2 linked regions of the Arabidopsis thaliana genome follow. The protein of the gene in region 1 interacts with the protein of each later gene in a pairwise test. Each region holds a gene or a part of one and is shown in the gene's direction. Other genes may lie near its edges.

Region 1 (3,928 bases):
AACAGTCGACAGTGAGGAAACTTGAAACTTACTTCATGAAATCGTTCTTGAGGACTCGCATCAAGATAGTTGCAAGGAATCCAGTCAAAAGAAGGACAGTGACACAGGAGTTAATAATGGAGAACCAGTGGATTTCCAAATGATGTGGAAGAGAAGAAGACATAGAGTACTTCTCCATTCTTTTCTCAAAAGGAGTCTCAGTTTCCTTCCACTTCACAGTGTACATAAACTCTGCATCAACTTCCTTATCCTCAGTGAGATCCACAAGCGAATGAGGATCCATTCTAGCACTGATCTCGATCACACGGTCCTTATTGTATAGAATCTCAAACTGAATGTGCTTGTACAAGAAATATTTGAATTCACTCGGATCAGATTTGATATCCTTGTCAACCTTTCCAATGAATCCCCAGATAGGTAGATCATCATAGTACATCTGGAAGTAGTAGTCCTTCTCAACAGCTTTTCTGAACTGTTTGACCTCTTCTTTACTCAACTTCTTGTTGCAGTATACCTCAGACTCTTTTTCATCTCTGAAGTTGAGCTTGTATGGAGCGCTAACTAGCCGATCCCCGTTTAGAACCTCGCCAAGAGCTTCCTTCTTCTCTTTCACACCCTCTATAAACCATATTCAATAATGGGATGATCGAATCAGGAGATGTCACACAAATCAGTTGCGGCTTAAACACAAATCGTGTGATTAAGCTAGTAAAGATATAAGCATACCTGGGATACAGAAGGGAAGATCAAAATATCGATACGTCTCACTGCAATCATCATTGAACAAAACCAAAATCAGTCATATAATAGTATTCAAATCTAAGACAGATCCATCACATAAACGAAAAACATTCCAAATGTAGTTTCTTCTTTCACTCTTTGGTTTTAACATTACGCATTTTGCAGTGTACTCAGTTATCAATGTCGTTACTCAATTCAATAGCAACAGATTCAACAATAAACGATCAATTTATCATCCTCAGGCTTAAGAATGGGAAACAACCTCAGATCTGAAGCTCAGATCTAGAATAGATGTTTCCGTTTACCTTGGATTGTGAAATGGGCCGACCTTGTTGGCGTAGAGAGGAACGGTGTCTCCTTCCTTGTAACGGTGGTCGGAGGCGTCGGATCTGACATAGCCGGCGCCGGAGAAGAGGATAGCTCCGACAAGAAGGAGAATCGTCGTCGGTGTCCTCATTGCGTATTCTGCTCAAATCGTGAGATCTGAGTAACTTTTTTTATTTGGGAGAAGAGGGAGAAAAATGGAGGAAATAACGACAATATTTATATACCAAAGACTTCAATCAAACTCGAGTCAGCTACACAAATTTTAATATTTTTATTATTTTCTCACTTTATTTCATAAGAAAAATACATAAAAAAACTATAGTCAATAATACTTTATACCATTTCCAACCATAAAAATAAATATCAATGTCTATAAATTCATAAATATATGGCTTTTGAAACCAAGACTAATTATTTATAACAAATGTGAGTGGCATTTAACAAAATACAAATCATTTTCCCATATGTAGGCTAATTAAACCAAAAAAAGAATATGTAGGCAGTGAGCGAACTAATTGTTCTGCCAAACCTATGTATCTTATAGTGTTTTTTTTCCTTGGGTCGAAAATCTTATCGTATTAACACTTCATAAATTTTGAATAGTTAAATTATTACTTCTTTGTATTAGATGTGGAGTGGAGTGACTATTTTTTTAATATCTTTTGTGGTTATAGTATAGTGAATATGAAGAATGACGAATGATGTTACACGAGACCAAGTTTTTGAAAAAAAAAATATATGAATCTGATAATCATTTTTCCTTTACGTGCGTTATCGTACGTAATTGCTTTGCATGATCTCACGTCATGACAGCAATTATAGAAACTAAACAATTTAAAATTCTCATTTATACACAACGTGCATCGTTTTGAGGCATGGATAATTTAAGGTTTTCGATTTATAGATTGAATCAGCAAGAAATTACAATGTAGCCACTTATACCAAAAATAAAATCAAACAATTTGAACAAGATACATTGAAGTATGGATCAAAACAAACAAACAAAAGTGACACTAGTTAAGTTTAGAGACTAGAGTGAGTCGGTTTTGTTATTTCATAATTTGGTTCATGTAAATATATGTACCCTTCATTTGAACAGAGTAGTATAATCCAGTAACTACATTCATATCTAGCAAAGAAAACAGAAACCTAATCAAAAACGTATTAAGATTTCTCAAATTTTCGTTCAAATTAGTGATAGAAAACCAGACGTAACCGAAATAAAACAGGTCAAGCCAAACCAGACTAGATTCAATCTTGGTTCACTCTTAAACGAAGCAGATTCGGTTCGGTAAAAGCATCTTTGACCGTAATCACTGGCAAAACGAAAGATTGATCGTTTGCTTCTTTCTACCGGAGATGACGAGTATAATCGGCGCGGCGTTGCCGTACAAATCACCGGAGAAAGCAATTGCATCTTCTTCGTATTCAGCTGAGAACGATTCGAGTCCTGTTGATGCTGTTATTTTCGCGGGAACTTCGCTGGTTCTCGGCACCGCTTGTAGATATTTGTTTAACGGCACTAGAGTTCCGTACACCGTCGTTCTTCTCGTCATCGGCATTTTTCTCGGATCCCTAGGTCTTATTTGTTTGCTCATTAAGCTTTATAGCTCAGTTTCAATTTCGTGGAAGATTTTAGAAAGTAGTTAAATTTTGGATTTTTTTGCTTCTGTAGAATATGGAACTAAGCATAACCTTGGGAAGCTCGGCCATGGAATTCGTATCTGTAAGCTACTGTATTTTCTCTTCTCCATACTGTTAGATTACGAGCTCTAAAAAATGGCAACTTTACAGGGAATGGTATCAACCCTGACCTACTTTTGGCTGTTTTTCTCCCTGTTCTTCTTTTCGAGAGCTCATTCTCCATGGATGTGCACCAGATCAAGGTTTTTACTTTCCTGATTGAGCTACTTCCTTGGCTGTGTTGGTTCCTGGTATTGATTGTTTTACATCATTGGTAGAGATGTATGGGACAAATGGTTCTGCTTGCTGGACCTGGAGTTCTGATTTCCACCTTTTGTCTCGGAGCTCTTATAAAGGTACTTTAACTAGCTTCAACATTTTCGACTGTGATTAAGTGAGCTTCAATTAACTTAACAATTTTTTCGAGTTATGCTCTTGTAGCTTACTTTTCCATATAACTGGGACTGGAAAACATCATTGTTGCTTGGAGGACTTTTAGGAGCTACCGACCCCGTGGCTGTTGTTGCTTTGCTAAAGGAGCTTGGTGCTAGTAAGAAGATGACCACGTTAATTGATGGGGAATCTCTCATGAACGATGGGTAACCATGTCAAACTCTTATGTTTAGCATCAAGGTGATGTTATGTCATATATGATCAAGCTTAGTTGTTTGGATTATTCAGGGTATCGGTTGTGGTTTTTCAATTATTCTTCAAGATGGTGATGGGGCATAACTCTGATTGGGGTTCCATAATCAAATTTCTTGTCCAAAACTCATTCGGAGCGTATGGATTATTTTCCTTTGTTAGTAGTATTGTATGTCGCTGTCTTCTTTTCTCCGCTTATGTTGTTCTGGTTTTTTAGTGTAGGCATTGGTCTAGCTTTTGGAATTGCATCAGTTTTTTGGCTTAAATTCATATTCAATGACACGGTGGCTCAGATCACTGTAACACTTTCAGCGAGCTATTTCGCCTATTACACTGTATGCTCTTCTCTTCTACATAACTTAGTCCCCAATGGAGAATCTTAAATCTCTAGGAAACCTAAGAAATTTCTACTATGTACAGGCTCAAGAGTGGGCTGGGGTTTCTGGAATTTTGACTGTCATGATTTTGGGGATGTAAGTCGTGGTAAATTATCCCTTCTTTCTGTTGTTATGTGTCAAAAAGCCATTGTTCA
Region 2 (3,928 bases), on another chromosome or scaffold:
GCTGAAGCCTTAGCTTGGTTAACCATACTGTTCATTCTGTAAGTCCTTATTGGTGGCCATCCCACAACTTGCCTGCCATTTTCAAAGGTTTCAAATTGCTCAAATAAGAGTAAACACATAAAAAGGGTTATAAACACTTCAGGGCCTTGTAAAATCAGATACCAAGAGAATCACTATACAGGATTAATCACTTTCTCTCCAAAGCTAATAAATACTTTAGAATCCAAGAAGAAAAAAACTGTCATCTCTAGAAAACGATAGTAAGATTCAATTTGAAGATATAATGACCAAAGCAAACTATCTAATGATCAGGAAGATACATTCAAAGTCATCTATACGTAACAAAGGTCGAATCTTTTCAGATAACTGTGATCAAGGACATTCTGTCTAATCAATCCCATAACCATAAAAAGCAAAAATCAAATCTTTATTTATAGTTCTATTGATAATCATGATATTAAGAATCCCCAAATAAACCATAATTGATCAAAATGTAAAAGAGGAAAGGGAAGAGAATTTCACTCACCCACTAGTTGCAGCCATGGAATCAGCTGTCCTCTTGATCCCAGCAATTACGCTAGCTCTGCTCAGAGAAGAAGATGATGAAGAAGAAGAAGAATCATCAGCGTAAACCCTACAATCTCGATACCCTTTGCGACCAAGGCTCAACGTAAGACCAAGCTCAAGCTCATTCCCTATAGGAGAAGAAGAATCCTCACAAGAAACGACGAGATTTTCATCGTTTGACAAAGCCGAAGCCGATCCACTAGCGGAACCGCCTTCCATTTTCGACAAAACCAGAAGCTGAGAATTAAGATTTTGATTGTGAGGGAAGGGAGGAAAAAGAGATGGGTTGAATTTGAAGCAAAGATTGAGACTTTAAGTAAGGCAGAAACAGTGAGAAAGAAAAAGGGAAACAAAGGATGAACAAGAAGACACGACGGGTGGGATTTGTCTCTTTTTCACTTCCCTAACTTTTAGTCTTATTTCTCGCCCAATTTTATCATTTTTTTGATCCAATAATAAATTTCTCACATTATTCCGTGACTATATTTACTAGAAACTCTTTTTTTTTCCTTCTTTTAACAATATCCACTTATGTAAGTTTTTAAAATAAAATATGTGGACTTTTGGTATAATTATTTCAATTTTTCGTAAGTTTATATAGGGAAGTTTTACAATTATGCGAAATTCCGTTGTAATATATTTATAAACTTATAATCAATTAACGATAGGATTAGATGCCAAAAAATATAATGGACAACATGATTTTTCAAAATGTATATTATTGTATTAATGTTCAGATTTTTGTAGTTGGTATTTGACTCCAAAATCTGATATAAGATCGGATAGATTTCAAAGAAAATTTGATATCAAAACGGTAGTATCCGTGGTATTAATAAAAACATTTTTAAAAGGCTGGAAAATAAAATAAAAACAAAATTCATACAAATATATATTTTCAAGAAGTGGGGGCTCACATGTCAGCTTCATGGGATTCAATCGGACGGCTAGAAAAAGATTACTTAGAAGGCTTAGTGGGACCCACGTGTACAGAGAGGGGGGACTCGTGCCCACACGTCCTTTGGTCCATCCATCTTTCCAAATCGGACGGTGCTGATTAGTTCCGGTTTAAAGCTATTGATAGTTAGATACCATCACTATATAGGTTTAATTAGTATTTTAAAATCAAGTGGCAATCTAATCTTTAATCACGTAATTAAAATTGAATTTTTAAGGCAATAAAGGAGTTTAGCTGTCCATTTTTAGTGGTGTCCGAATAAAAACCCTGTCGTCTGGAGGGAAGACATAACCGACCGTTGCTTCTTTTCACTTTCCAAATAAACCGTTCAATTTTTTAATTAATTGCATATAGTAGAAGAGTTGAATTTTCGAAAGAGTCCATGTGAGAGAATGAATACTCTGAGATTCGCTGCGGTGTGTACCACCGTATCTGATTCTCTCAAGCCCAGTTGCAATCAAACCAGTACCGGTTATCTCCGAGATAGCTAATTTCATTATCTTAATAAAAACAGAAAACCAAAACCGGTTATTTCCGAGTTGATATCTTCTTCCTCGTCTTCTTGTTAAGCTACTCTGTAGTACAGAGAGAACAAAACAGAGAATTAAAGAATCGATTTAGACCAAATTGTATGTGATTCGTTCGGACAAGAAGCGATGATGAGGGGATCTCGGTTTCTCCTCTCTCGCGCTTCTCTGTATCACCGTCTTCGCTCTGATCATCACCATCACAGTTTCTCCAGTTTTATCAAACGTAGCTCAATTCAGAGATCACCAGCTATCAATGCATTCTTCACCGATCCATCTCCATCTCCATCTCCAGTCAACGCACGAGTCTTCTTCTTCTCAACTTCAACTTCAACTCCAAATCAAGATCAAACCAAAACAGCATCATCTAAGAAGATCCTCCGCACGATTTCAAGCTATCTATGGATGAAAGACAACCCAGAACTCCGATTCAGAGTCATCGCTGCTTTAGCGTGTCTCATAGGAGCTAAGTTCTTGAATGTTCAAGTTCCTTTCCTCTTCAAATTATCTATCGATTTACTCTCTTCATATTCATCTTCAACAATCACTGATTCAAATCCTTATCTACTTGCTGCTTTCGCTACTCCTTCTTCCGTTCTCATTGGCTATGGCATTGCTCGATCTGGATCTTCAGCTTTTAACGAGCTTCGTACTGCTGTTTTCTCCAAAGTATCTCTCCGCACAATACGATCTGTTTCTCGTAAAGTGCTCTCGCATTTACATGATCTTGATCTTCGTTACCATTTGAATCGAGAAACAGGAGCTTTGAATAGAATCATTGACCGTGGAAGTCGCGCGATTAACACGATCCTCTCTGCTATGGTTTTCAATGTTGTTCCAACGATCTTGGAGATATCAATGGTCACAGGTATATTAGCATACAATTTTGGACCTGTTTTTGCTTTGATCACTTCTCTTTCCGTTGGATCATACATAGCTTTCACATTGGTTGTGACACAGTATAGAACTAAGTTTAGAAAAGCTATGAACCAAGCTGATAATGATGCAAGCACAAGAGCTATTGATTCTCTTGTAAACTACGAGACTGTTAAGTATTTTAACAACGAAGATTACGAAGCGAGAAAGTACGATGATTTACTCGGAAGATATGAAGATGCTGCATTGCAAACTCAGAAGAGTCTTGCGTTTTTAGATTTTGGACAGAGTTTTATATTTAGTACAGCTTTGTCAACATCAATGGTGTTGTGTTCTCAAGGGATTATGAATGGAGAGATGACAGTTGGTGATTTGGTGATGGTGAATGGTCTTCTCTTTCAATTGTCTCTTCCTCTTTACTTTCTCGGTGGTGTTTACCGTGAAACCGTTCAGGGTCTTGTTGATATGAAATCATTGTTCCAGTTGCTAGAGGAGAGATCCGATATTGGAGATAAAGATACAGAGACAAAGCTACCTCCTCTTGTTCTGAGAGGTGGAAGCATCAGTTTTGAGAATGTACATTTTAGTTATCTGCCAGAGAGAAAGATTTTGGATGGGATTTCATTTGAGGTACCGGCAGGGAAAAGTGTAGCGATTGTTGGTAGTAGCGGAAGCGGCAAATCGACGATTCTTAGAATGATTTTCAGGTTCTTTGACACAGATTCTGGTAATGTTAGGATTGATGGTCAAGATATAAAGGAAGTGACACTAGAGAGTCTTCGAAGCTGCATTGGAGTTGTCCCTCAAGATACTGTAAGTTGCCATTTTGACTAGAATTGTTCTCTTACATTTTGTTGTTATTAGTCTAAACCGTGACAAATTAGGTAAAATGTTAGTTATCTACTTAGGGCTTATTGGAAAAATCTATTTAGGGTATTTTAAACTTTTTTGTTATTCAGTCACAATTTCTACATAAATCACATGCAGATGACATTTTACACTC

Evidence for each region.
Region 2: the proteins of NHX8 (region 1) and ABCB23 interact in a protein complementation assay, tested with the Arabidopsis thaliana proteins (one large-scale study listed by BioGRID).

The regions. Positions count from the first base shown.
Region 1 is NC_003070.9:5,034,939-5,038,866, reverse strand, and holds the start of NHX8 (Na+/H+ exchanger 8), read left to right. Parts: upstream 1-2,256; 5' UTR 2,257-2,427; coding exon 2,428-2,647; intron 2,648-2,743; coding exon 2,744-2,794; intron 2,795-2,862; coding exon 2,863-2,954; intron 2,955-3,029; coding exon 3,030-3,107; intron 3,108-3,192; coding exon 3,193-3,350; intron 3,351-3,432; coding exon 3,433-3,534; intron 3,535-3,613; coding exon 3,614-3,731; intron 3,732-3,816; coding exon 3,817-3,869; intron 3,870-3,928. Other genes in the region: AT1G14670 (Endomembrane protein 70 protein family), read right to left, coding at 33-618, 727-767, 1,047-1,198. UniProt on the Arabidopsis thaliana protein: May act in low affinity electroneutral exchange of protons for cations such as Na(+) or K(+) across membranes. May also exchange Li(+) and Cs(+) with a lower affinity.
Region 2 is NC_003075.7:14,139,146-14,143,073, reverse strand, and holds the start of ABCB23 (ABC transporter of the mitochondrion 1), read left to right. Parts: upstream 1-2,019; 5' UTR 2,020-2,178; coding exon 2,179-3,738; intron 3,739-3,928. Other genes in the region: IAA11 (indole-3-acetic acid inducible 11), read right to left, coding at 1-72, 527-786. UniProt on the Arabidopsis thaliana protein: Performs an essential function in the generation of cytoplasmic iron-sulfur proteins by mediating export of Fe/S cluster precursors synthesized by NFS1 and other mitochondrial proteins.